Linked DNA regions of Macaca fascicularis. The protein of the gene in region 4 interacts with the protein of the main gene of each other region in a biochemical or structural test. Links are inferred from orthologs where the notes say so. Each region holds a gene or a part of one and is shown on either strand. Other genes may lie near its edges.

Evidence for each region.
Region 1: the proteins of CUL4B (region 4) and AMBRA1 form a complex in vitro, tested with the Homo sapiens proteins (2 studies listed by BioGRID, with this or other methods). The link is inferred for Macaca fascicularis from reciprocal best matches to the Homo sapiens genes CUL4B and AMBRA1.
Region 2: the proteins of CUL4B (region 4) and RBX1 form a complex in vitro, tested with the Homo sapiens proteins (4 studies listed by BioGRID, with this or other methods). The link is inferred for Macaca fascicularis from reciprocal best matches to the Homo sapiens genes CUL4B and RBX1.
Region 3: the proteins of CUL4B (region 4) and DTL form a complex in vitro, tested with the Homo sapiens proteins (2 studies listed by BioGRID). The link is inferred for Macaca fascicularis from reciprocal best matches to the Homo sapiens genes CUL4B and DTL.

The regions. Positions count from the first base shown.
Region 1 is NC_088388.1:19,304,028-19,311,455, reverse strand, and holds part of AMBRA1 (activating molecule in BECN1-regulated autophagy protein 1), read right to left. Parts: intron 7,095-7,428; coding exon 6,911-7,094; intron 5,557-6,910; coding exon 5,384-5,556; intron 3,834-5,383; coding exon 3,767-3,833; intron 3,192-3,766; coding exon 1,738-3,191; intron 1-1,737. UniProt on the Homo sapiens protein: Substrate-recognition component of a DCX (DDB1-CUL4-X-box) E3 ubiquitin-protein ligase complex involved in cell cycle control and autophagy.
Region 2 is NC_088384.1:10,678,079-10,685,964, forward strand, and holds the start of RBX1 (E3 ubiquitin-protein ligase RBX1), read right to left. Parts: upstream 4,061-7,886; 5' UTR 4,036-4,060; coding exon 3,958-4,035; intron 1,839-3,957; coding exon 1,760-1,838; intron 1-1,759. UniProt on the Homo sapiens protein: E3 ubiquitin ligase component of multiple cullin-RING-based E3 ubiquitin-protein ligase (CRLs) complexes which mediate the ubiquitination and subsequent proteasomal degradation of target proteins, including proteins involved in cell cycle progression, signal transduction, transcription and transcription-coupled nucleotide excision repair.
Region 3 is NC_088375.1:69,849,293-69,856,720, reverse strand, and holds part of DTL (denticleless protein homolog), read right to left. Parts: intron 4,734-7,428; coding exon 4,608-4,733; intron 3,058-4,607; coding exon 2,959-3,057; intron 249-2,958; coding exon 187-248; intron 103-186; coding exon 1-102. UniProt on the Homo sapiens protein: Substrate-specific adapter of a DCX (DDB1-CUL4-X-box) E3 ubiquitin-protein ligase complex required for cell cycle control, DNA damage response and translesion DNA synthesis.
Region 4 is NC_088395.1:126,803,349-126,810,095, reverse strand, and holds part of CUL4B (cullin-4B), read left to right. Parts: intron 1-1,000; coding exon 1,001-1,173; intron 1,174-3,335; coding exon 3,336-3,488; intron 3,489-4,763; coding exon of another isoform or gene 4,764-4,805; exon of another isoform or gene 4,806-4,821; intron 4,822-6,747.

The DNA.
Region 1 (7,428 bases), on a different chromosome or scaffold from region 4:
CCGTGTTAGCCAGGATGGTCTCGATCTCCTGACCTCGTGATCCGCCCGTCTCGGCCTCCCAAAGTGCTGGGATTACAGGCTTGAGCCACCGCGCCCGGCCTTTAATAAACTTTTTAAGTGCCTACTACATGTCATGCACTGTGTTGACTGCCTTCTCACGTCTCTTGGCAAAGAGGAAGAAGAGAGGCTCGGGCCCCTGATGAAGACCAGTATCAAGGCACAATATTCCAAAACCAGGAATTGAGGAGCCGTTAATCCAGAACTGGTTTCAAGTATATGAGCAGAGTTAGCAAACCTCTCTGTTTTGTTTATCTTTCACATCCAGTCAAGTCTCCCTCTGTTTCCCACCCCAAGCCCTTAGTAAATGCCTAAGAACCTACATGCACTATACCCTTTCCTCCCTGGCATGTGCTGGTTCCCTGAAATAAAAAGGTCTTTCCCTCTCCAAATCCTACCCATCTTTCAAGACTTGATTTTGCAAAGCCTTCTTGGATGATACTTCCCTTTCTCTGAGACTACATCCAATCTCAGTACCACACAATGAAGCATTTGCTCATCTACACTTTTGAAAAATTTTGTTGTCTTGCCTCCACAATAACACTGTAGACTCAGGTTGGTAAAGACCATGTATTATACTTCTTTTGTATTTCCCACAGTGCCTAGCACAGTACTAGAAAATTTGTAACCATTCAACTAATACTTATTGACTGAGTGACTGTCTAAAGCATCCTCCCAAAATAACAAGTACATTATGTGCATAATTCATATTCCCACCCTTGTTAGAAGCTTATGTCAGAGAAATTTCAGTTGCTTCGACAGAGGATGTAATGCAGCGCAATATGCTGTTTGGATCCAACAGGCATATTCTGGGAGTTGGTGATTATGCTAGCTTTGACCTTTACAAAATTACAGAAAGAAGTCCCTAATAAATCAAGATAGATGCGCACATAGCCATTCATGGAACATGTGGTGGGCAATCAACTACACCCACTCTGTTTCTGCCATGAAAGAGTTGGCTAGGATGCCAATCCGAGTATGGAGTGTCCTTCCTTCCATGAATTCTTCTTCTTCTCCACCCCAAGGTGAATGTCCATCTGGAAGGTCCATTCAGAGAATCTCAACTGAGCAACTAATAGGCTGTCCAAAAACAAGTATCTCTGAAAAAATTGGAACTTTCCTTGACATACATATATATATAGATATACATATTTTTTTCTTTTCCTTTTGTCAAACTGCAGTGTTCCAAAAGATAAAGATTAGGAAGTGAACTCGCTTGTCCAAAGCAACACAATCAGCAAAGAATCAATAGACTAATCTGTACCATGCAGGGTTCTCTTTTACTTATTCCTAGGCACGATGGGACATTGTTTTGTCTCACAATAAGTAGTCCTGCACATACAACATCTCAAGAAGGTCAAAAAGCAGGGCAGAGAAAGTCAATGATTCCATCTCCTCATGCCTCTCTAACCTAATCTACACTCTCCTTTCAAGGCTAAAGCCAGAACCTTGAGCTTAGCCAGAAATAGAGCTAGCACAGCCAACTGACTCATACTGCTAGGCCCTATCCTATCTCTGCCACCAGAGCAAGATTTTCCAAGAAAATGCAATGGGGAGATCAGAAGCAGATGCGTGGGTCCCAGACACTCCAAATACAGCCACAACATCTATAGGACTGAAGGAAATGATACAAGGAGAAAAGCAAGGGATGCAGGAGAAGACAGGAAAGCAACTGCTTACCTCCTGAGTGAATCCTCCTCAGAGCTTTCCTCAGGCATATCCTGATGTAAGGCCTCCTGTGACACAGTTCCAGATCTGCTGGACTGGGTGTAAATTCTTTCCCAGTGGCCTGTCTCCTGGTTAAAGGCCACCCCCACAGTCCTCTCCTCCTGCGGACTAGCAGAGCTGCTCAACTCCAGCCTGCTGGAGCTGGGCGTTTGGCCCTCAGTCCGCTCAAGAGGTGGTAACTGGCTGCCACTCGATGGCACACCCTCAAAGGAGCTGGGGACCTGCCAGGAGGAGCTAGCCTCGCCAGAGGAGTAGTTAGGTGTGGTTCTTTCCCAGCGCAGGGTATCGTTGTTGAAGGTCAGGAGATTGTGGCAAGCACGACAGCGATTCAGGTGGCCACGGGACAGGTTGGAGTTGTTCTCACTGCTGTGTGGGGTGGGCTGGTGGGAAGGGCCTGGCCTTTCAGATTCAAGGTTATTGTTGAGCATTTCCTGGGCCTGCTGGGTCTGGGGAGCTTCCCCACTCAGGCTCTGATCCAGCTCCTGAAGCCGGTCATACTCCAAAAAGAAGCGTCTCAGGTCACACTGAAGCTCATGGCGAATGCTGCCCGAGTTATTTTGGCTGGAGCCATTCCCTCCATCTGACTCAGTTGCCAACCCTGATGCTGGAAAACCCCTCCCTTCTGTGGCTGAAGTGTACACAGATGCCTGAGAGCCACCTTCCTGCTGTCTCAGCACAGACAGCAAACTCACTGAAGAGGCACTGGTCCTGGGCGGGGGCATGGATTCCGCCTCAGAGCGGGAGTTCAGACTGAGTACTGTCCGGGTCCACTCAGATCCTGTCAACCCGGGAGCTATTTCTCGGTGATACCTAGAAGGGTGGCTAGACAGAGGCCCTCCCAAAGAGCGGCGGGTAGGACCCAGACTGAGGTTGCGGAGCGTGTTGCCGGCAGTGCTGCTCTGGACTGTACTGAAGGCAGACGGCCGGTTCAGGAGGCCCTGGTCCTGCTGCGTTGACGAGGCCTGCTCCGGGGGATGGAAGGGCTCGGTCTGTACAAAAGAAAAGGAAGGGGTAGTAGCTCTGGCAGAAGCAGGGGGGACACTGTCCTGGTGTGGCAAGAGGGAAGGAACTCGAGTGCCAGAGCAGCGGCTGCAAAGGCACAGGATCCCAAGGTGCTGGCAGCACTCAGCTGTGGGGTAACTGACCCGCTGTCGGAGCCTGATGTAAGCGGAAGTCCTGGGGCGCTCCGTGGAGGGCTGAGGGGGAGGCGGTGGGGGTGAGGGGGTAGCAGAATCTTGCACTGTGCTTTGCTCTCCCACCTGGATGCCAGAAGAGCGGGAGGACAGCATGTGCAGGAAATTGTGGAGGAGAGGTGTCCGGCGAACTGGCTGTGATTGCAGGAGGGCACGCTGACGGTAGTGGGATAATTCTGTTCCATCTATGGGGATCTCTGGTTCGTCATCACCCTGCAACGTGGACCAGCATGGGGCAGGGGGTAGAGCAAGGCAGTTAGGTAGTACCTCCAAGTAAATCAAGAAAAACTAACCACTGACAATCATCCAAGGAAAACAATGTTCACAGGTAGGAAACAACTCTCTACCCCTGAAGCACTGACAACTGGCCTCAGATTCAGAATAATCCCATGGTATTAAAATTTCCACTCCCAATCAGCAGCATATCTGAATGAGTGCAGCTGACAAACCAATTGTCTTACAAAAGACATCTCTCCATGACATGGAAGCAGTGAGGGGAAGCGAATTGTCAACCAGCCAGAGGCACATGAGTGACAAGCTATCCAACATTGTCTAGTGATGATAAGGGTTACTTCTAATGATGCGATCACTGGAGAGTTTTAGAATCGACTCTCCTGTCAAGATTATGACTATAACCCTGAATATACAATCTGAAGCTAGCTTTAAATTTTGACTGGAAAGAAAGACTTGGGTATTGAGAATTTAAATCCAATATAATCAGAATTGGAATACTAGTTAGGAAAAGAACTCACAGTTTAGCTGGAATTGGAACTGCTGGACTAGCTTACCTGTTGATTAGAGGGGTTAACAATTGCTGTGAGTAAGTAGTGTCCAAGTGGATCAAATCTCACCAGACTGAAATCACAGAAGAGACAAAGACACGCATAGAGAGATTATGTTAACTGAGAAGAGAAAACTTGTGTTCAAATTTATAGCAATCATTACTGATAACTGGTATCACTCAGGTATCCACTTCATTCAAGACTTTCAAAACTTTCAAAGAGATTAAAATAACAACACTCAATACTTCTTGCCAGAGTAAAGGAATATGTATCACAAAAATAACGATTTCACATGAAAAACACCTAGGGTTTCCATCCCCGGAAACAGCTACATTAAGCACATCTTTGCTCAAATACAAGAGCTCATCCTAACCATAAAGCATAAAATGCTCTCATACTCTGCCACAGAATCAGTTCTTCCCTCATATGGCAGCTACACCAGCAAGAAGCATGAATCTTGGTGGCAACGAACAGACCCAGCATTAAATGACATAGCTGAAACCAGAAAATTGGCCTGTATTTGACTGCAAATCCAAGAGGACCAAAGAAACACAATGCATCATCTTTAATAGCAGCAATATGTTTTGATCTTGAGTACTAAATAAATGTCAATTACATGCTTACATCTCCATCTTCCAGTTTGATATACAAAGACAACCCAACGAGGTATCTAAAATACCACCCAAACTTGTTTCAGGTTTTCCCAAAGAAGGACTATCCAAAACACAGTTAACTTTGAAACTAAAAGAGAGTCTAATGATCTTGGTCTCCAAAGTTCAGAAGAGGAGGCCAATAAGGGAAAGCTGAAATGAACAAAATGAGTGTCTCCCAGCTGATTAGTCAGCTGTTTAGAAAGTAGGAGGCAGCCAGGTGCAGTGGCTCACACCTATAATCCCAACACTCTGGGAGGCCAAAGCAGGAGGATCACTGAAGGTCAGGAGTTCAAGACTAGCCTGAGCAACACAGTGAGACCCCCCCGTCTCTACAAAAAAATTTAAAAATTAGCTGAGAGTGGTTGCACACACCTGTAGTCCCAGACACTCACAAGACTGAAGTGGGAGGATTGCTTGGGCCCATGAGGTCAAGGCTGCAGTAACTTGGGCCCATGAGGTCATGGCTACACAACTGTACTCCAGCCTGGGTAACAGAGCAAGACCCTGTCTCTTTAATAATAAAATAAAAAAGGGCAGGGGTGGGCACGGTGGCTCACGCCTATAATCACAGCACTTTGGGAGGCTGAGGTGGGCAGATCACTTGAGGCCAGGAGTTCAAGACCATCCTGGACAACATGGTGAAACCCTGTGTCTACTAAAAATACAAAATAATGAGCCGGGTGTGGTGGTGGGCGCCTGCAATCCCAGCTACTTAGCAGGCTGAGGCACGAGAATAGCTTGAATCCAGGAGGTAGAGGTCACAGTGAGACGAGATTGCACCACTGTACTCCACCCTGGGTGACAGAGTGAGACCCGGCCTCAAAAAAAAAAAAAAACATAGGAGGAGCTGTGAGGATGACAACTTCCCCTAAGCAGGGATAACAACCTGTCTTCCAAAGTGACAGCCGGCAGAATGTTCTCTATCATGTCAGTCCTGTGCCAGACAATGCTGATGGGGCAGCGCACTCACCGGACCCGTTCCATCTCACTAGCTGTCTTCACCACAGCAAAGGGTTCCCGTCGACTCCAGTCCCAGAAGTGGATCTCATTGGCAGTGGCAATCAGCAGGAGCTGAGCCGTAGGGTGGAAAGCCAGGGAGGCAATGGCATTGTTGCTATCTGTGAACCAGCTTTCACTGCCACCCTGTGAACAAACCAATTCCAGATATTCTCAGGTTACAAGCCACCAGCACACTGGGAAGTCAATTTCAAGAAAGGTCCATTTAAGGTAAAATGACTACATCTAGTGACTACTTTAAATACATCCTTGTAAAAAGATGTAGAAGATCAGTGATCTGGCAGTGCCACTAATTTATCAGACAAATACTATACAATCAGCTCAGTTCTTCAAATTATTCACAATCTACAAGCAATAAGCATATATACACAGTTCCTACTTCTTTTTTTCTTTCTTTTTTTTTTTTTGACAGGGGGTTTCATTCTGTTACCCAGACTGGAGTGCAGTGGCACAATCTCAGCGTACTGCAACCTCTGCCTCCTAGGTTCAAGCATTCCTCGCACCTCAGCCTCCCAAGTAGCTGGGACCACAGGCACATGGCACCATGCTCGGCTAATTTTGTATAATTTTGTGTATAATATTTTTGGTATAATATCCTGCCCAGGCTGGTCTCGAACTCCTGAACTCAAGCAATCCTCCTGCCTTGGTCTCCCAAAGTGCTAGAATTACAGGCGTGAGTCACCGCGCCCAGCCCACAGTTCCTATATCTAAAGCCTGAGAAAAACTCAAGCTTGGTGCACAACATGGTGCAAGACAACCTGCTAGCCAGTTACTAGGACAAAGAGGATCTTGCTTTGATGATCATGATCGGAGTACAGGACAATCTTTGCCCTTACACAATAGAAATCCATCCTGAACATATCTTAGATTCTCCTGTACTATGTCACAATGGGCCAAAGGAAGTAAAAGCAGATGTTCATCTTAGAATGGAAGACAATCTCAGGGCATGCTTAAGCTATTGCAAAAAAAAACAAAAAGGAATGGAAGACAGGGAATTAGACTTCCTGTTAATTAAGTGGGCAATGTCTACCACAATATATTCAGATGTAGTCCTAAGAACCCAGTTAGGCTCTTCCAGAATTAAAAACTCAATGGTAAACAAGTCTCTGTATTTAGAATACCAAAAGAGGCTGGGCATGGTGGCTCACGCCTATAATCCCAGTACTTTTGGGAGGCTGAGGCAGGCGGACCACTTGAGGTCAGGAGTTTGAGACCAGCCTGGCCAACATAGTGAAACCCTGTCTCTACCAAAAACATAAAAATTAGCCAGGCATGATGGCACATGCCTGTAATCCCAGCTACTTGGGAGGCTGAGGCAGAAGTTATCACTTGAACCTGGGAGGCGGAGGTTGTAGTGAGCTGAGATCGTGCCACTGTACTCCAGCCTGGGCGACAGAGTGAGACTCCATCTCAAAAAAAAAAAAAAAACAAAAAAAAAACAGAATACCAAAAGAAAAGGGTATCTTAAGGAAATACTCACGTGTAAATCCCAAATCCTAACTTCCCCATCTAGGCAGCCGGAAGCAATAAGGCCTGAGATGGTGGGATGAAAAGTGACACACCACGGAGTACGGCGGTGTCCAATCAAGGAATGAACACACTTGCCAGTCTTCACCTCCGTAATATAGATATTATGATTCACATGGGTGGAGGCTAAGAGAGTCCTAGAAAATCAAAGAGTAGAACTAATTCAGAAGCATGTGGAAGGGTAACCAACCTTATTAACTTTGGACAACACAGAATAGTGATGCTACCTGCCGATCCCAACACGAAAGAACCTAAGCTTTGTACGTTAGGCAGTATATCTACAAACAGAAATATTCTGATCTTTAAAGGCTTTTGGCTTGTCCACGCTGTCCCCAAATGACACATGCCACATTCAGAAAATATTTTTTTCCACTGTAATAACCATCATGCCACTGGTGAGCTGTATCACACAGGCAAATGATTGTTATTGAGAAACTTTCCAAGTTTTGATCCTCTCAGTTTCCTTTGCTT
Region 2 (7,886 bases), on a different chromosome or scaffold from region 4:
CAGTGCTGGGTTAGACAAAACCAAGGAAGAGAACAGGTGAAGAATATTCTAGGTGAGAAAGAATAGGCTATGTAAGGGCTCTGAAAAAGAGCATGGACACTTAAGAATGAAAAAGCAGGCCGGGAGCGGTGGCTCATGCTTTTAATCCCAGCACTTTGGGAGGCCGAGGTGGGCAGATCACCTGAGGTCAGGTGTTTGAGACCAGCCTGGCCAACATAGTGAAGCCCTGTCTCTACTAAAAATACAAAAATTAGCTGGGCGTGGTGGCAGGCGCCTGTAATCCCAGCTATTGAGGAGGCTGAGGCAGGAGAATTGCTTGAAACCAGGGGGCAGAGGTTGCAGTGAGCTGAGATCACGCCACTGCACTCCAGCCTGGGCGACTACATCTCAAAATAAGAAAAAAAAAAAAAAAGGAAAACTGGCCAGGGGCCATGGCTGCTTTGGCCACCATAGTTAGTTTAAAAAAAAAAAAGTGTCCAGGTAAACTAACAGAGTGAGCAGGAGTGACTCAAGATGAAGTTGTAAAGGCAGGTGAGTGATCTGAAAAGTAAGTTCCTATAATTCCAATTCTAGAAACTTGAAGTTTCTTTCCTCCATTTCTGGCCTCAGTAACAAATCATTTTAGTTCCCGGATGAAAAAGTAACCTCTACTGTTCCTGGTGTGATCAACATTCTTGTTCCTTCTACTATAAGGACAGGAAATCAGTCCATCAAAGACTATAATCGGATCACTATGTGCTGACCACTACATGTAATAAAATATGTGGAGATTTAAATGAAATTTCTTTAGTGCAATCAATTACCTATTTAGATGTTGGCAATGATTTCCTTTTTATTATGTTTGGGCCTAACATACAAAATACTTACTCCTTAGGCTTCTTTCCTTTGTAAACAATGACCAGCAAAAATTAGCTCAGATAGACATTTTTTTTTTTTTTGAGACTCTGAGTCTCAAAAACTTTTTTTTTTTTTTTTCTTGAGACCCTGAGTCTCAAAAAAAGACTGTGAGTCTTGCTCTGTCGCCCAGGTTGTAGTGCAGTGGTGTGATCTCAGCTTACTGCCACCTCCACCTACCAGGTTCAAACAGCTGTCCTGCCTCAGCCTCTCAAGTAGCTGGGATTACAGACATGCACCACCACGCCCAGGTAATTTTTGTATTTTTGGTAGAGACGGGGTTTCACCATGCTGGTCAGGCTGGTCTTGAACTCCTGGCCTCAAATAATCCACCCGCCTCAGCCTCCCAAAGTGCTGGGTTTACAGGCATGCACCACCACGCCCGGCTAATTTCTGCATTTTTAATAGAGTATTTTTGCATTTTTAATAGAGTCGGGGTTTCACCATGTTGCCCGCCTTGGCCTCCCAAAGTGCTGGGATTACAAGCATGAGCCACCACGCCTCGCCTCAGATAGAATATTTTAGCTCAAAGTTTATTTTCCTCCTTTCAGTATTTCTACCTTTGAGTCTAGGTACAAGATGGGAGATATGCAGGAAGAATCAACAGTGCCTGTTGTCCACAATTAATTCTAAATGTGTCCCTGCCATCTTTAGATTGAGTAGATTTATTCTGAAAGCTGGGTATGCCTCCAGGACATCATAAAAAAACTACTCTATTTCAAACACACCAAAAGACTAGATACAGAAGACCGAGTGCTCAGAGTAGGCTTGATATCTGCTTGTGAAGAAGAAAATCGGTCACATCAAGATAGCCACAAGCTCTGCAACCTTCTCAACTTCCTCCCATCCTCCTCCAATTACTTACAAAGATCCATAATGTGGTTCCTGCAGATGGCACAGTTATCAACCACAATATCCCAGGCCCAGAGGGCTACTGCATTCCACTGCAAAGACAAAAAGAGGGAACAATGCATTCTCCTTATAACACACACACAGTTTTTAGGACTTCAGGCTGCAGTTGTAGTTATGATCTCTGGCCACAGGGAACCACCAAACAAAAGTTTTTGGATATTATGTTAATCTTATTATACCAAAGACAACAGTAGACAACACATACATTCTCCTATTCTCCAAAAGACTGAGTATATGAACACATAAATTAATGTCATCTTTTAATTTGTTTCCTGTAGTTTAAAACAATTTAGTCTGGCCGGACGCAGTGGCTCACGCCCATAATCCTAGCACTTTGGAAGGCTGAGGCGGGTGGATCACCTGAAGTCAGGAGTTCGAGACCAGCCTGGCCAATATGGCGAAACCCCGTCTTTACTACAAATACAAAAATTAGCCAGGCTTGGTGGCGGGTGTCTATAATGCCAGCTATTTGGGAAGCTAAGGCAGGAGAATCGCTTGAATCTGGGGGACAGAGGTTGCAGTGAGCCGAGATCGTGCCACTGCACTCCAGCCTGGGCGATGGAGTGAGACTCCATCTAAAAAAAAAAAAAAAAAAAAAGCACAAACTTGAATTTCTGTGCAGGTTTTGGTGGCAGTTGCAGAAGCGCTCAAAATCTGAATAAGTATCTGCTCTTCCAGGCAGCTTTGGAAGCATGAGCAATGAAGTGAAAGCTAGGGAACAGAATGAACTAAGATGATGACTGGATCATAAAACGGGTAATCGTGGGATAAGCTGGATAATTAACTGCCCATGTCAGTACACAGAACAAGGTCATCACTTAAATCTTAGATTACTTCATAACAAATTCTACAATTCACTAGAATTTTGTTCGATTCTTACCATAAAATAAACTGATGTTCTGAACTTTTATATGTTTAGACTCTTCTATTAAGATAATAATTCCAGTAAGAGTTTAACTAAAAGTGGCATTTCATTCATTCAACTCTGGTTTCCTCAATTACAAGTACTCCCAAACCTTCATCGCTTTCAAACCCCAGTCTCAGTGCCTAGTAACTTCTTCACCACTTTTCACATCACAGCTTCAACTTGGAGGAAAAGCCCCTACTTCTATTATTCTTCAATATGGCTGGCTGTAACTGAGCAGCAGTGGCCACAATGAGACACCAAAAAGCACTAGGAGGGGGGGATATTGTCAGTGTTTAGCCAGATGTTCCAGGAATATCTTCCCTATTTCAGAATCTCCATTTCGAATAGTTTTCATGTTAGGTGGGAATCGACACTTTTCTCCCAAACTGTGGCAAACCACTAAAATGCATTTCATGCAAAAGACACGTTCCATTTTTGCTTTCCCCTCTTACCAAGTCATTCGCAACTACTACTCAACCCTCCCGAAATGCCACAGGATTTGGGCTCGGATTTTCTTAACAAGTTCCACCGTGCTTTTTATTATTATTTCGGAAGGGGGAGATTCTGAACGTGACAGAGAATCCAAGAGTGGGGTGGTTGTGGGAAAAGCCAACAGACGTCTCAGAACACCCAAGCATTACACTCCAGACTCTAACTCGGCGGTGTGAGGCCCAGAGATGGGGTTAATGGAGGCCTCGGTTCAGCGAGGAACAAGTCTGATCCCTTCAAGTGAGAGGACCCCAAGCAAGCTTCAAAAAGGGGCGGAGCAAGATCACTAGCGGGGCTCCTCAGAGGCCTCCAATGCGGTAGGACCTCAGGTTCCAGGCTTTCGCCGCACTGCCCCATCCTCCACCGCCGCAGTCGCTCTGACTCCCCATTCCACCCACCCCACCCCACCCCACCCCACCCCACCCCACCCCACCCTACCTTCCCCCACCTCTCAACCACTCCAGTGACAGCTCAGGCGCTTGGCTCCCGCCGCCAAGTCGCAACCCCGCGTATCTCAACAAGCAGCTCTGTGATTGGCCCCTCAGCCTCACATCGAAACCAACACTTCCCCTGACAGTGGGCCGCCGTCACGCCGATCAACTCTAAGGCCCGCCCCCCGACTTCCTTTCGTGGTACCCGGTCCCAGGAACGCCCTAAAATGAAACCCTTTACTCCGCGCCTCGACCATCCTCGGGCCTGCCAGCCAGATCCGCGCCTCTCTAGCTTCCCTGAGGAAGGCGCTGGCGAGACCCAACCTTTTTCACTTCAAAGCGCTTCTTGCCCGCGCCGCTGTTGGTGCCGCTCGGGGTATCCACATCCATCGCTGCCGCCATTTTGGAAACACACGGTCTGTCGTCCGACCACCGCGCCTGCGCAGCAGCGCACACCTCGTTCCCCCAGCCTCCCCGGCACCTCCTCCCGCACCCCACCCCTTACTGGCGCGCGTGGGGGAGGTGGGGGCGGAGCACGTGACCACGCCTCTTAAAGGGGCTATCGCAGGTCGCCCCACCCGCGAAGTGTCGGCCGGGGAGGGGGCGGTGGCCGGAGTGGGTGGGGCGGGGCCGGGCGGGGCCGAGGCTACGTGAGCTAGCCTGGTAGAAACGTTCGAAAGGGCTCGAGGTCGCCGCCTCCTCTGGGAAGCCCCCGGCCGCACTCCATCAGCTGGGGCGGCGGCTGCTTCCTCCGCCTGAGTCGGACCTGCGCCGCAGTCCTGTCCTGCCTACCGGGCTCGCCCGGTCGCCGCGCGACTCCCATTGCTAGCCGGGGTGGGCGCCCGCCGCCTGCCCCGAAACCTGAGAGCCCTCGCTGGTCTTTCGCAGACTCTGACCCACCTCCGAGCCAGGCCCAAGGCGCAGTCCGCGTGGGAGGGCTGGGGCCCAGGCACCGTCTGGTCTCCGATTTCTGTTCGGGAACTGCTCAGGGATCGATGGGGAGAGAGGAGAGCCCCGAAGGTCCTCCCTAAGGCCAGACTGAGCAGGCCCCCAGTGCTGCCCTCATCCCCCCGCCAAGCCTGGAGGGTGGCCTCTGCGCCCGCTTAGTCGCAGTCCTAGGACCGCCTTTGGTCGTGGTGCGCGGTTTCACCGTGGCGTGTGTCAGTCCCCACTCCTCATTCCTCAGTTGTCATCTTGTGTAGGGTGATTTCTCCCCAGTCTGTGTCCTCTTTCCGCTACTTGTGCTATAGTGAAACCGACCCATCTGCAGTCGCTGTATTTCTTTAATTTTTGTGAAGCATTCTGACTTTTTGGGGTGTTTTTCTGAGACGGAGTTTCGCTCTTGCTGCCCAGGCTGGAGTGCACTGGCGCGATTTCGGCTCACTGCAACCTCCACCTCCCGGGTCCAAGCGATTCTCCTGCCTCAGCCTCCCTAGTAGCTGGGATTACAGGTGTCCGCCACCACGCCCGGCTCTTTTGTATTTTTAGTAGAAACGGGTTTTTACCATGTTGGCCAGGCCGGTCTCGAACTCCTGACCTCAGGTGATCCGCCTGCCTCGGCCTCCCAAAGTGCTGGAATTACAGGCTAGAGCCGATTTTTTTTTGTTTTAAATAGAGACAAGGTCTCACTCTGTTTCCCAGGCTGGTCTCGAACTCCTCGGCTCAAGCGATCCTCCCACTTCGACCTCCCAAAGTGCTAGGATCACAGGAGTGCGCCACCGCGCCCGACCCAAGCACCTGTACTTTGTGTCACTCTCCCATTTCTCGCTAGACCAGGACTCCCTTTGACATCTCTAACCTTGCAGAGGTATGACTCCGCCAGAGCACTCTTAGATCTGGTACAGGTGATTTGAAGCCTTTTATTTTCTCTTAAAAGATAACTGGAGAGTAATGGAGTGTGCTGACACTATTGCTAAAGAGAAAGAATTGGCCAGGCGCGGTGGCTCACGCCTGTAATCCCAGCATTTTGGAAGGCCGAGGCGGGTCGATCACCTGAGGTCGGAAGTTCGAGACCAGCCTGGCCAACATGGCGAAACTGCATCTCTACTAAAAATACAAAAATTAGCTGGGCGTGGTGGCACGCGCCTGTAGTCCCAGCTACTCGGGAGGCTGAGGCAGGAGAATCTCTTGAACCCGGGAGGCGGAGGTGACAGTGAGCTGAGATCGAGCCACTGTACTCCAGCTTGGGTGACAGAGTGAGACTCCGTTCCCAAAAAAATAATAATAAAAGAGAAAGAATTGCCATTTGTTTATTTGTTAGTCATAAACAGGCACAACAGATCCGGGAAAACACCACCACAGCTTTATCCAGACTTGGAAAGAAAAATTGTGTGAGACAGACCTTAAAGGGCTACAAGAACCCTACAAAGTTTTTTTTAGCCCAAGTTGTAATGACTTTATGTTAAAATTTCTGTTGTTAATTTATTGTGCGCCTACAGTCCCTGACAGGAATACTAGAAACCCATTGTAAATTAAGGTATTGAGGACATACTTATCCATCATTCAACAAAAGTATTGATATTTACCAGGTTCTATTTTAAACAGAAGAGACATAATAACAGTCAACCCCCTAGTTAGGGAATAAGACACAAGTCAACAAATAAATACATCAGGAAGTCTCAGGGCCAGTTAAGGTGTCTCGCGCCTGTAATCCCAGCACTTTGGGAGGCCAAGGCAGGCGGATCACCGGAGGTCAGGAGTTAAGAGACCAGCCTGACCAACATGGTGAAAGCCCATCTCTACTAAAAGTAGAAAAACAAAAATGAGCCGGGTGTGGTGGCAGGCACCTGTAGTCCCAGCTACTGGGGAGGCTGAGGCAGGAGAATGGATTGAACCCAGGAGGTGGAGGTTCCAGTGAGCCGAGATAGTGCCACTGCACTTCAGCCTGGGCAACAAAGTGAGAGTCTATCTCAAAAATAAATAAATAAATAAAAAGTTTCAGGTATCTGCCAGGCAGGGTGGCTCAGGCCTGTAATCCCAGCACTTTGGGAGGCCAAGGCAGGCTGATCACTTGAGTCCAGGAGTTGTCCAGACCAGCCTGGCCAACATGGCGAAACGTCGTCTCTACAAAAAAATACAAAAATTAGCTAGGCAAGGTGGCACATGCCTGTAGTCCCAGCTACTCTGGAGGCTGAGGGGGGAGGATTACCTGAGCCCTGTACATGGAGGTTGTAGTGAGCTGAGATGGTGCCACTGCATACCAGCCTGGGTGACAGAGCAAGACCCTATCTCATAATAAATTAATAAAAAATGCTGCATTGAAAAAAGTCTCTGGCTGGGCACAGTGGCTCATGCCTGTAATCCCAGCACTTTGGGAGGCCGAGGCGGGTGAATTACCTGAGGTCAGGAGTTCAAGACTAGCCCAGCCTAAATGGCGAAACCCCGTCTCTACTAAAAATATAAAAATTAGCTGGGCGTGGTGGTGGGCACCTGTAATCCCAGCTACTTGGGAGGCTGAGGCAGGAGAATTGCTTGAACCTGGGACATGGCAGTTGCAGTGAGCCGAGATTGTGCCACTGCACTCCAGCCTGGATGACAGAGTGAGACTCGTTCTCAACAACAACAACAAAGTGTCAGGTATTAATAAGTGCTATGAAGAAAACAAGGTAATGAGATTGAGAGAAGGAGGCCACAGTAAATTGGGTGATTAATAAGGTTTCTATGAAGAGTGACATTTAAGCTGAAGTTGTTTAAATGGCCCTACATGATCTGCTTCCCCATCCAATTTACATATACCTTTGAAAATATCTTTTCTAAGTTGGGCATGTGGTCCTAGCTACTCAGGAGGCTAAGGACGTGGGAGAATCCCTTGAACTTGGGAATTTGAGGCTGTAGTAAGCTGAAATTGCACCACTGTGCTCCAGCCTGAGTGACAGAGAAAGACCCTATCTCCTAACGAACAAACGTATTTTGACATTTACTTGTATATTAGGATTATTGTTTTTTGTGTGTCCTCAGCAAGAAGAGGGAATTTTGATTTGTTTATTAGTAACAAAAACTGGTACATTGTATGTGCTCATTATGTGTTGAGTAAAGAAATTTGGAGCTTACTGAGCAAGCAGAAAGTAGTAAGAGATGTCAGAGAGGCAGGCAGGGGCCAGAGCATCTATTTTATTGTAGATCTTATGGGAAGGCATTGAAGGTTTTTTTTTGTTTTGTTTTTGTTTTTTTTGAGAGTCTTGCTCTGTTGCCCAGGCTGGAGTGCAGTGGTCTAATCTCAGCTCACTGCAGCCTCCACCTCCTGGGTTCAAGCA
Region 3 (7,428 bases), on a different chromosome or scaffold from region 4:
GGCAACTGACTTGAGGCTGCATTGATGACCTTTGCACGTTCCAATCAGCTCACCAGCTTTCACATCCCAAAATTTGGCTGTTTGATCACCTGCTGCTGTAACCTTTCAAAAATAAGGTAAGCACAATTTAACAAAGCAATCCCTTATCAGTATTTACCCAGATCCTAATGAAATAAAGTCACTTACAAGCTTAAGTTCACCAGGAACCCAGGCCAGGTCAAAGACGGCATTCCAGTGAGCCATCCATTCTAAACAAAGAAAATGGTAAATGTGAAATGTCTAAATTGTATTCTGTGGTAGCCATATTAATAGAAGTTTAAATGCCTGGAAAGCTGTAGTAGTAAAAAGATCAGTAGTCGATCATTAAGAGAAATACAAATCAAAACCACAGTGAGATATCATCTCACGCCAGTCAGAATGGCAATTATTTAAAAAGTCAAGAAACAACAGATGCTGGCAAGGCTGCAGAGAGACAGGAATAGTTTTACACTGTTGGTGGGAATATAAATTAATTCAACCATTGTGGAAGACAGTGTGGCGCTTCCTCAAAAGACCTAGAACCAGAAATACCATTTGACCCAGCAAACCCATTACTGGGTATATACCCAAAAGAATATAAATCATTTTATTATAAAGATACATGCATGCATATGTTCACTGCAGCACTATTCACAATAGCAAAGACATGGAATCAACCCAAATGCCCATCAATGATAGACTAGATAAAGAAAATTTGGTACATATACACCATGGAATGCAATGCAGCCATAAAAAGGAATGATATCATGTCTTTTGCAGGGACATGGATGGAGCTGGAAGTTATTATCCTCAGCAAACTAATGCATGAACAGAAAACGAAACACTGTATGTTCTCACTCATAAGTGGGAGCTGAACAACGAGCACACATGGACAACGAGCACACATGGACACAGGGAGGGGAACAACACACACTGGGGATTGTTGAGGGGGAGCACGGAGAGGGAGAACATCAGGAAAAATAGCTAATGCAGCCGGGTGCGGTGGCTCACGACTGTAATCCCAGCACTTTGGGAGTCCGAGGCGGGCGGATCACGAGGTCAGGAGATCGAGACCATCCTGGCTAGCTCAGTGAAACCCCGTCTCTAATAAAAATACAAAAAATTAGCCGGGCGTGGTGGCAGGCACCTGTAGTCCCAGCTACTCGGGAGGCTGAGGCAGGAGAATGGCATGAACCCGGGAGGCGGAGCTTGCAGTGAGCCGAGATTGCACCACTGCACTCCAGCCTGGGTGACAGAGCAAGACTCTGTCTCAAAAAAAAAAAAAAGCTAATGCATGCTGGGCTTAATACCTAGGTGATGGGTTGATATGTGTAGCAAACCACCACGGCACACATTTACCTACGTAACAAACCTGCGTGTCCTGCACATGTACTCTGGAACTTAAAATAATAAAAACAAAGATGCACACATAAAAAATCAGTAGTCAGCACTCTTTGGCATGAGCAAAGATAATTTGTGGACTCATAGAAATTACACATTCCCTTAATTACCACATGAGAACTAACATCTGATGTCAAATTCCTTTCCATGAGTTCACTAGTTATATATTCTCTAAAATGGAATCTTTCTGAAACATATTCCAGTTCAAAAATCTTCATGATACTGGCTGGGCACAGTGGCTCACACCTGTAATCCCAGCACTTTGGGAGGCCGAGGCAGGCAGATCACTTGAGGCCAGGAGTTAACCAGCCTGGCTAACATGGTAAAACCCCATCTCTACCAAAAACAAACAAACAAACAAACAAAAAACAAAAATAAAAAGAACTTCATGATGCTCTCTGAATGGAATGTAAAATACTTTAGTTTGACATTCAACATTTTGCATTCTTTAGTCTTTATCTTGGTTGCAAGCCTCATCTCTCACTGTTTTCGATATCTTATTCCAACCAAATTGGTCACTTCCTATTTTATTATATCCTATGCTTTTCCATCTCTAGACCTTTGCTAATGCTTTTCCCTTCACCTGGAGTACCCCCTTCCATTTCCACCGGTCTAAATACCATAGTCCAACTCAAATGCCCCATTCTTCATAAATTTTCCTAGCCTTCTTTACTACATGAGAGTTTTCTCTTTGACACCAGTGTGTTTTCTTTCTACTTCTGTATAATTTATAGCCTTTGTTTTATTTATTTCAACACTTGACTTATAGGTTCCAAATTATCAGCTTCTTAAGGTTAGAAGAACTTTGCTTTATACCTGAAAAATGTTCGATCAATATAAATATTTTAAAGCAACACTTCTCTAACCACATTAAGTGTTAAAGATTCAACTTTTTGAAGGAATTGTTTTTAATCCTAAAATGTATTTTTCTTAACTTTGAGTAAAGGCATTGTCATAGTTAACAGTTATTGACAGATAGGTAGTCCACCATTCACATCTAACCTGGTCCCTAAAAAGACTTCATCAGAAGTTAACATAATCAGGAATGTGTTATATATACTTCAGATGTTTGTCCCTTCCCAAATCTCATGTTACAATTCAATCCTGAAAGTTGGAGGTGGGACTTAATGGAAGGCATTTGGGTCATGGGGGTGTATCCCTCATGAACAGATTAATGCCCTCCCTAAGAGGTGAACAGATGAGTGACTTCTTACTCTATTAGTTCCCTGGAAAGCTGATTGTTTAAAAAAGAGCTTGGTACTACCCCTTTCTCTTGCCATGTAACCTCTGTATTCATGGGCTCCTCTTTGCTTTCTGCCATGAGTTGGGGCAGACTGAGGCCTTCACCAGATGTCTAATCTTCTAGCCAGCAGAATCATGCACCAAATAAACCTTTTTTCTTTATAAACTACCCAGTCTCAGTTATTCCTTTGTAGCAACACAAGACAGACTAAAACAGAATGTGTTCAAATAATAATACACTTGAGGATCTGTAAAGTTTTTTAAATGTTAAAACAAAAATTGTAGACCTAGACTTACCTTTGAAGCACTTCTTTCTGAAAGTTTGTGATTCAGTGTTATACAATCGAACAAAGCCTTCTTCATTGGCAACTGCTAGTACGTGTTCCATATTGGGAGCTAAAGCAGAAATAAAGAATAAAATATATGAAGAGTAACACAAAATTTTTTTTTTTTTTTAGACGGAGTCTGGCTCTGTCGCCCAGGCTGGACTGCAATGGCACGATTTGGCTCACTGCAACCTCCACCTCCTGGGTGCAAGTGATTCTCCTGCCTCAGCCTCCCAAGTAGCTGGGATTACAGGCATGCACCACCACACCCAGCTAATTTTGTATTTTTACCAGAGATGGGGTTTCACCATGTTAGTCAGGCTGGTTTTGAATACCTAACCTCAAGTGATCCACCTGCCTCAGCCTGCCAAAGTGCTGGGATTACAGGCATAAGCCACTGCGCCCAGCCACAAAACTTTTTAAGTTTCCTCAAAACCACCAAAATTTTCTTCACATAATCTCTTATTTAGAGAAGGGCTAAATCGAGGGTTGTACTTAAACAAAACAGGAGTGGTACTGGCCAATGGCAAACAAAAGCATATGATGATATAGGCCGCCAGCAGGCTGAGTCTATTAGTTTTGTTTTTTTTTTTTAATCATATTTTTATTTACGTATTTTTACCACAATCATTGCTACGTAATAGTCTATTAGTTTTTGTTTTTGAGACGCAGTCTCCCTCTGTCACCTAGGCTGGAATGCAGTGGCGTGATCTTGGCTCACTGCAACCTCCGACTCCCAGGTTCAAGCGATTCTCTTGCCTCAGCCTCCCCAGTAGCCGGGACTACAGGCGTGCACCACCACGCTCGGCTAATTTCTGTAAGGAGTCTATTAGTTTTAAATTTCCTTTTCACAACTTTTTCTCTCCTCTCAAAACTATTATGGGTGGAGACAAGTACTTCCATTTCTTTCTTTTTTCTTTTTTTGGAGATGAAGTCTCACTCTGTCACCCAGGCTGGAGTGCAATGGCACAATCTTGGCTCACAGCAACCTCTGCCTCTCAGGTTCAAGTGATTCTCTTGTCTCAGCCTCCCAGGTAGCTGAGATTACAGGCATGCGCCACTACGCCCAGCTAATTTTTTGCAATTTTAGTAGAGATGGGGTTTTACCATGTTGGCCAGGCTGGCCTCGAACTCCTGACCTCAAGTGATCTACCCGCCTTGGCCTCCCAAAGTTCTGGGATTACAAGTGTGAGCCACTGCACCCAGACCCGCCTTGGCCTCCTAAAGTGCTGGGATTTCAGGCGTGAGCTACTCAGCTTGGCCAAAGTACTTCTATTTCTGTTCATATATTCCCCAGTGAGTCACAGAAAGATACATTCAACCAGATCAAAGGGTATGTATCTACTGGGTAAAACAGTTTTCATTGTAGCTGAACCTTTGCCACCATTTCCTTATATTGGTTTTTTAAAAATGGTGCTATAATAATCCTATGCTTTAGAAGAAATATAGTTATGCTAATGATGCATAGAGATTAAGAAAAGTCTATTTTATAAATCAAAAGACAACAGTTTTTACAAAAACTCTAACATCTACCTAGTTTACTTTTTGAAGTATATTTGCCCTGTAAATGTGAAATAGATCATTTCTGTCCAAGCCTTGCCTAGAGAGTAATTCTCTTACCAGAAGAGAAGGTACATCCAAAAGGAGGAACCGGGACTCCTGTTTCTCCATAAGAAGTGTGTTCATCATTACCACTGCATTGATAACCAGTCAGAAGGGATTGTAGAGGGTATTGTGAAGACCATCCTAAAACAAGACAATTCCTTATAGAATTCCAATAGAGCATCACATTTCAGCATTTTTAACAAATCCAGAGGTATATATTTGTTCTTAAGAAACTTTAGATATTAACATAGATCCACTTACTATTAATATCTATGGAAGACACTGTTTCTGGTATTTCCTTAAAAGAGTCCTAAGGAAAAAATGAAAAAGCACTTCCAACTTCTGGGGAGGTATAGCTTTGGGCTTACTATCTAAAATGAAGACTCTCACTAGCACATTGAGATTAGAAGAAATAAGAGGCCTTTGCATATTAAGAAAGATCTTCCTCCTTCTCCTACCAAAGAGACAACCACAAAAGCATTCCATTAAAACTGTTATCCCTTTCTATTAAATTCTTATGCTGGAACATCATACAAAATCCAGTGGTCAAAGAGCCAAAGAAAATAATATATATCAATGCAACTACTATAGCCAGTAACATATTCACCAAATTTACTTTCTTTTTCCTTTACTGCTGAAATTGTAGGAATCTAAAATGTTAATAGCAACGCTTATAGTATCTTAAATGATATTAGAGAAATTGTAAAGTGAAGCGTTATGTACCTACCCCTAGTAAACATTTAGTTAGCCCTGGCTAGTGGCAGTGGGTCAGGCAGTCTTTACAGGAGGTCTTGAAAGATGGGTAAATTTTCACTGAATTTAGAATAGAGAACAGGAAACTCAGGGTGGAAGAAAAGTTTATTCTGCTTGGGTCAGAGATCTAACGTGCACTATGGTCCTACATAGTAAGATATCTTCAGAGATTTGTTTTTATCATACTCATTTGTGGTCAAGACATTTTAAACATATAAAAGAAACATTCATTCAACAAGTAATTACTGAAAACCAAATGTTCAATAAGCATTGGAGGAATCACTGAGTTTACAATCTATTGAAAGCATAACAAACTCACATTTTAGGGTACTCTGAATTCTCACTTTTCATCAAAAGTACTATGTGGAGAATACATCCTAGCTTGATATAACCTCAGACAAATCTACATTTGGATGCTCATAGACATAACCTGAAGGAATCAATAGAAGGGCACCAAAAAATTTAATCCAAATTTAATAATTAGTTCTGGGGCCATCATGTCATAATTTCAACATCAGATATCATTGTAAAGGAGCTGTTAAAGACCACTAAAAGAATGCAATAGGCTGGGCGCGTTGGCTCATGCCTGTAATCCCAGCACTTTGGGAGGCCGAGGTGGGAGGATCACGAGGTTAGGAGATCAAGACCATCCTGGCTAATCCGTGAAACCCCGTCTCTACTAAAAATAAAAACAAAAACAAAAACAAAACAAAAAAAATTAGCCAGGCATGGTGGCAGGCGCCTGTAGTCCCAGTTACTCAGGAGGCTGAGGCAGGAGAATGGCGTGAACCCGGGAGGCAGAGCTTGCAGTGAGTCGAGACTGCGCCACTGCACTCCAGCCTGGGCGACAGAGCAACACTCCGTCTCCAAAAAAAAAATGCAATAGTTACGTTGAGTTCACAAGTATTAACCTACAGAATAAGTGTGTAGAAACAACAAAAGCCTCTGTTCAAAGGTTATGTAAATATACATGTTTTGGAATTAAAAAAAATCAACTGCAAAATGCAAACTCAAAAGGGACTTTTGAACAACTTGGTTGAAATGAAGATGATACACTCCAAAAAACCTGCAATTTTTTACAATTAAACAATGACTTTAACTCTGCATCTCTGCCTACAATTAACATCCAAACACCAATGAATGGTGAGTGATTGGTCCTTGCCTACTCCTCTACTTATGCAATCCCTGCAATACACACTTCACTGATGAACCACCCTAAGCTACTTTTGGATCCTTATTGTGTTATGAACATAAAACTGTAATGCTTACCTCCACAACACATTTGGAAAAAGCTATTATTTCCTCATTGTACAACTTAAGCCCCTAGAGTTACATGCACATATTCCAAGTAGTATACAAGAACATGAGAGTTTTCAGAGACTAAATTTCCAGATACAGTAGTCATCCCCATCTGTGGTTTCGCTTTTTGTGGTTTCAGTTGCCTATGGTCAACGATAGTCTGAAACTATTGCATTGAAAATTCCGGAAATAAACAATTCATAAGTTTTAAATTGTGTGCCATTTTGAGTAGCAAGAAAATTTCACACTGTCCTACTCTGACCTGTCCAGGGTTATGAATCATCTGTGTCCAGAGTATCCGTGCCATATATGTTACCTGCTCTTTAGTCACTTCGCTGCTTTGTCTGTTACATAGTTGGAAGGTCAGTAGTAGCCTAATGTTATATCACAGTGCCTGCCTACGTCATTCATCTCACTTCATCTCATCATGTTGTAGGTATTATATCATCTCACATCATCACGAGAAGAGCAAGTATAGTACAATGATATATTCCGAGAGGCCACCTTCACATAACTTTTATTATAGAATATCGTTATAATTGTTCTGTTATTATTAGTTATTGTTAATCTCTTACTGTACCTAATTAAACTTAATCATAGGTATGTGTCTGTATAGTAAAAAACATAGCATACATAGGGTTGGGTCTTGGAACATATCCTTCAAGGATAAGGAGGTACTATTGTACTCAACTACGATATACAGTCATATGTCATGTAATGGCATTTTGGCCAAAGACAAACCGCATACACAATGGTAGTCTTATAAGATTATAATGAAGCCTAA
Region 4 (6,747 bases):
GGTCAGGGAGAAGGCATATACAGCAAGGGGAAATATTTTGAGATGAGATTGGAGGTAGGAATGGGCACAGTATAGGCCCATGAAGAGCTTAATTGTAGCACGGAATCATGAAGAATCATGAAGAGCTTAATTGTAACAGAATAGTGAGTTAAAAAATTAGGTAGGATGAGTAGTGCCTGATTGTGGAGAACCTGATAAATCTAGCAAATGCAAACCTACATTGTAGTGTCTCAACTATGTGGCGTGGTGGAAGTAATTATTTGGACCACTTACTGAAATCAATGTACAGGGCAACTGGAAGGATCAAGGGATTCCAGTTTAGATGCTGTTGGGATGATTCGGGCATAAAGTGGAAGGGCCTTAGACTAGAATGAGGCCACGAAAATGGAGAAAATTCATCTCTGCAGAAGCAACAGCTAGCTATTATGTTGAGGATGAGGGAGAAGGAAAAGTTAAAAGATGATTTCAGGGTTTCCCAATTGCGAAGGTTAGTAGTATCACCACTGACAGTTGGAAAGAGGACACAGTTATATAGAGATGATGAATCAAATTTTGGACGTGACTACAGTTGATAGTAAAACAGCCAGGCGGAATTGCCATTTAAACGTGCAACTGGAGAGAAGTGAAATGTCATTTTGGAAGATTTGGTAGTTGCGCACATCATACGATAATTGACACCTTTAAAAGATGACTAGGGGCCGGGCGTGGTGGCTCACACCTGTAATCCCAGCACTTTGGGAGGCCAAGGCGGGTGGATCACTTGAGCTCAGGAGTTTGAGACCAGCCTGGGCAACATGGTGAAACCCCGTCTCTATTTTTTTTTAAAAAAAGAAGAGAACTAGGAAAAAAGCCATTGGCTAGGACAAAGAAGAGTTGTTGGTGACCTTTGGGAAAAAATGAAACAGTTTTACTAGGGGGATGGAGTGGAAACTAGATTGAGGTAGAATGTGGTAGTTGTTCATGCTGGTAACAAATAACTAAACCTCTCTTTCTTCTTCAGAGGATGGAGAGTTAAGGAGAACACTGCAGTCATTAGCCTGTGGCAAAGCTAGAGTTCTGGCAAAAAATCCAAAGGGCAAAGATATTGAAGATGGTGACAAGTTCATTTGTAATGATGATTTCAAACACAAACTTTTCAGGATAAAGATCAATCAAATCCAGATGAAAGAAACGGTATTTCTTTCACTTTCTCCTAGTCCTAACACACTGGAATTATACATGTTAATAATTAAAATATATAAAGATTTTATACCTGTAATACTGCCAATACCATTAACATTTTCTCTGCTATGTCCAGCTAAATATATTTCCGTATTTGATTTTGGGTTTTTGGGAGAGTGCTTGTACAGGATTGGGTTGATACTCAACATGGTTTTATATCCTACTTTGTTTATTTAATATTCAATCTTTAGAATTTTTCCATGCCATTAAATAGCTTCAAAAAATGGCAAATGGCAGTGTAATATTTTTACATGGCTCTTACAGTTTATTCAACCACTGTTCATTTTGGGGCAATTAAATTCATGACTTTTTAGTATTATAAATAAAATTGCAAGAAACCTCTTTGAACCTAAATTTTAATCTCTTTGATATATGATAAATGTGTGGAAGTAGATTTTTTTGGGTTAAAGGGTATGAACATTTTAGGAGTCTTAGTACATAATGTCATATTGTGTTCCAGAAAGACTGAACCAGTTTATACTCTGTCCAGCAGCATATGAGAGCCTGTCTTACTATGTCCACCAGCACTAAAGATTATATTTTCTTTTTCCAACTTGCTTGGTGAAAAATCTGAATGATTTATTCACTATTTGTTTGATTAACAGTGAAGGTGGGCCAGGCACGGTGGTTCACGCCTGTAATGCCAGCACCTTGGGAGGCCGAGGCGGGTGGATCACCTGAGGTCAGGAGTTCAAGACCAGCTTGGCCGACGTGGTGAAACCCTGTCTCTACTAAAAATATAAAAATTAGCTGGGCGTGGTAGTGCGTGCTTGTAGTCCCAGCTACTTGGGAGACTGAGGCATGAGAATCACCTGAACCCAGGATGTGGAGGTTGCAGTGAGCTGAGATTGCGCCACTGCACTGCAGCCTGGGTGACAGAGTGAGACTCTGTCTAAAAAAAAGAAAAAAACAAAAACAGTGAAGGTGAATATTTTGTTTGTTTTTGCCATTTGAATTTGTAAGAGACTTCCAACTGCAGCATCCTGAAACTGATGGTTTCAGTTCCAATAAGGTTTAATGCAATATTTGAAAAAAAAAATTTTTTTTTTTTTTTTTTGATGTGGAGTCTCACTCTGTCACCCAGGCTGGAGTCAGTGGCGCGATCTTGACTCACTGCAACCTCTGCCTTCTGGGTTCAAGTGGTTTTCCTGCCTCAGCCTCCTGAGTAGCTGGGACTACAGGCGTGCACCACCACGCCCAGCTAATTTTTGTATTTTAAGTAAAGATGAGTTTTCACCAGATTGGCCAGGCTAGTCTCGAACTGCTGACCTCACGATCCACCCACGTCGGCCTCCCAAAGTGCTGGGATTACATGTGTGAGCCACTGCGCTCAGCGGAGAAAAGTTTTAATGTAGGACAGCAACCAGTATCTTCAAACAAGTTCCTGTCATTTTCACATACACATCAAAGGATATTTTCTTAAAGGATTACCATGTCCTTACTTTTAAAATGTTTATGCTGTACCAGGAAGAAACTGCTGCAAAAAGCCCAGACTTTTTTTGGTTTAGTTACGAAAGATGAACATTTTTGCTTTAGCATCAAGATTGGTAAACCGCCTCCTAAATACCTACATGTCTATAAGTCTTGAAGGATTGTAAGCATTAATGGCATGCATGTCTGATTTATATATTACAAAATAAAAATTAATTTTCAAAGAGTTTGACTCTTAACTAGTTTGCTTAGCCAGTTAATACCATGCCTTGAGTCAGGTCAGACAGAGTCCATCACTTTATAGACAAGCTATTGTCATAGAGAAATCTGGTTAACAATCCATTGAAACTGATACACATATTTAGAAGATATCAAAGACAGAGTAAAAAAACAAAATGTTAAATTCCACATCAGCTATCTCTACTTCTAGAAAAGCAATTCAAAGATGATGTTTTTCTATTAACTAATATTAGCATTACTTCATTGGTATAGGGCAATATAATCAGAACAGAAAGGAGTTATGTTTGTAGGCTTTTTCTCTGTCAGCGTCTATATAAGACCCCAATTAGAAAATTCAGTACCTTTAAAGCAATAACAATGCCATGTCCCTAAAATGCACAATTTATGTAAATAGTCAGGTTTTGCTTCTGGTATAATTCTTAGGTTTAAAACTTTTTTGTTAGGTTGAAGAACAAGCAAGCACTACAGAAAGAGTATTTCAAGACAGACAATATCAAATTGATGCTGCAATTGTTCGAATTATGAAGATGAGAAAGACACTTAGCCACAATCTCCTTGTTTCAGAAGTGTACAACCAGTTGAAATTTCCAGTTAAGGTAGGTACTTCTGTGTTTTCCTATTGAGCGTGTTATAAATAAAAGAAAGTAGATTAGATTTTCAGATACAAATCTTGCAAACATAAAGCGTCATGACCATTTAGAGAGAGAAAAGTTTTAATTTTCCATTTTGATGCATATGATTTCCAAAAAAACTTTGTTGGCATATGTGGGCAGCAGTGACAAAAGGGGAAAATAACAGAAAATCCTGGATACCTGAAAGTTTAACTGCTAAGTGAGTCTTTGAAATTTTCAAGTTTATTCACTATATTTCTTTTGAACTTCTTGGTTGGTTTATTTACTTCTTTTCCTCTTGAAATACCATGGTATTTGTTGAAATACCATGGTATTTGACAGATTCGGTTATTGTGGATTGAGTTAAATCTCCTGTTTAGTTAGCTTATGTAAGAGATCATCTGTTAAAGACCATGCAGATAACTAGTCATCATTAAGCATCTTTTTGAAAAGTGTAGTGATAGTTCTGGTAAACTGAAATTGGTCATTAAATGGAAATGTTCCACTGTGAGTGCCCAATAATAAAGTCACTTAATGTGATGTCGTACTGGCCTATTTTCCAAGTTTTAGGAGGTAGATAGCCAAACCCTTGGATGATAAACATTGATAGAGTTTGAATAGACTGCTAGCTATTAGGGTTCTTATGAGCTTTAGACTTTCATAAATCACTTCACTTTGCTGATCTTGTTTCCTTTTTTGTAAAATTGAGATAATAGTGCTTACCTTGTAGGATTATTGTGAGGTTTAAATGAGATCATGAATGTAAAAATCTTAGCACTGGATCTGGTACATAATAAGCACTCTGTAGCTCTTAGTTCTAATAAGGTAAGCATTTTCTTTTCTCCAAACCTAATATTGCACTCCTTATTACCATACTCTTACCCTCATGCTCTGCCTAACAATCATTTCAGCTGAAGCCAGAGAGATCACTGATGCTGGGGAAATTAGGGGATTGCTGTAGTTAATATTGTGCTGATATTCTAGGTCTTTCACTGTAATTAAGAGAAAGTCATTTGATTTCCAAACCTTGGGATTTCTGGATAAAATTTTCACTGCTGCATCAGACTGTCTCCCCTCTTTTCCCCTCTTGAACAAGTGGTCATTTTACTTATACTGAAAAACTTTCTATTAGCAAACAAGATTATATTATATTTACAGGCTAGATACATAAGATATATAGTGGAATTTTGTCATCCAGGAGCTTAGAATGCAATCATGAAGATAAAGCTACAAGCTTTCTTGATTACTTTTAAATCACAGGATGCAGAAATCCAAGTCAGATGCATTAAACCAGAAGTATGAAGATCTAAATTATGAGGTACTTCATTTATCAAGCCATTTCATGTAGTGTTTTTTTTTTTTTTTCTTTTTTTTCTTTTTTTTTTTTTTTGAGATGGAGTCTCACTCTGTCATCCAGGCTGGATTGCAGTGGCGTGATCTCGGCTCACTGCAACCTCCGCCTCCCGGGTTCAAGCAATTCTTCTGCCTCAGCCTGTCAAGTAGCTGGGACTACAGGTGCGCACGACCACGCCTGGCTAATTTTTGTATTTTCAGTAGAGACAGGGTTTCACCATATTGGCGAGACTGGTCTCAAACTCCTGACCTCATGATCCGCCCACCTCAGCCTCCCAGAGTGCTGGGATTACAGGCATGAGCCACTGCACCTGGCCAGTATTCTTTTAAATAGTGATTTTTTTTTTTTTTTTTTTTTTTTTTGAGATGGAGTCTTCTTGCTCTGTCACCCAGGTTGGAGTGCAGTGGTGCAATCTCAGCTCACTACAACCTCCACCTCCCAGGTTCAAGCAATTCTCCTGCCTCAGCCTCCCTAGTAGCTAAGACTACAGGCGCCCGCCACCGCACCTGGCTAATTTTTGTATTTTTAGTACAGATGGGGTTTTGCCATGTTAGCCAGTCTGGTCTTGAACTCCTGACCTCAGGTGATCCACCCGTCTTAGCCTCCCAAAGTGCTGGGATTACAGGCATGAGCCACCGCACCTGGTCTAAATAGTGATTTCGTCAATACATTTTAAATCTTAATTTATAAAAATTAAGCCAACTAACTCTTGCCCAAAGTAAAGGTGTAATTCACAAACTATCTTGACAAAACTATATAGTCCTCATGTGAAGTTACAATAAATGTAGTCTTTTGTATTTAACCACGCAAAGGGTAGCTGCTTCTGGCATGACCTCTTTAAAATAGAAAAGTAATAGAAAGTATTGCGTAACAATATGACAAGGGTGTGACAGTTTAATGTATGTATAGTATATAGTACAGGTTGAACACCTTTAATGAGAAAATCCAAAATCTGAAATGCTCTAAAATTGGAAACTTTTTGAATGCCAACATGATGCCACAGGTGGAAAATTCCACACTTTACGTCATTTGACAGGTTGCAGTCAAAACTTTGTTTCATGCACAAAAGGTATAAAATTATCTTCAGGCTATGTAAGGTATGTATGAAACATAGATGAATTTTGTGTTTAGACTTGGGTCCCATCCCCATGATATCTCACTATGTATATGCAAATATTCCAAAATGAAAAAATCAGGACCAGGCAGGGTAGCTCATACCTGTGAGTACTGGGATTCCAGTACTTTGGGAGGCTGAGGCTGGGGGGAATCACTCAAGAACAAGAGTTTAAGGTAAGCCTGGGCAACATAGCAAGACCCTGTATTTAAAAAAAATTAAGAACTATAAAAGAAAATTAAAAATCGAAAACATTTCTGGTGTTAAAAAATCTTCAACATAGCTGAGCACGGTGGCTCATACCTGTAATCCCAGCACTTTGGGAGGCCGAGGCAGGTGGATCACCTGAGGTCAGGAGTTTGAGACCAACCTGGCCAATACGGTGACACCCCGTCTCTACGAAAAATACAAAAATTAGCCAGGCGTGGTAGCTTGTGTCTGTAGTCCCAGCTACTTGGGAGGCTGAGGCAGAAGAATCGCTTGAACCCAGGAGGTGGAGGTTGCAGTGAGCCGAGGTGGTGGCACTGCACTCCAGGCTGGGTGACAGAGTGAGACTCCGTCTCAAAAAAAAAAAAAAAAGAATCTTCAACGTGTATAAAACATTTTTAAACCTGGTTTATTTTCGTGATATTTTTCTCTAAAAAAGAGATTTAAATAAATACAAATTTTAAAAAAGGAGATTAAATTCGTGAGCCAAAACTGTTGTGTTTTTAATGGGGTGTTAACTAAATGGGCTTAAGCCAATGATAATGAACTTTACATTGAAAATTTGCCTT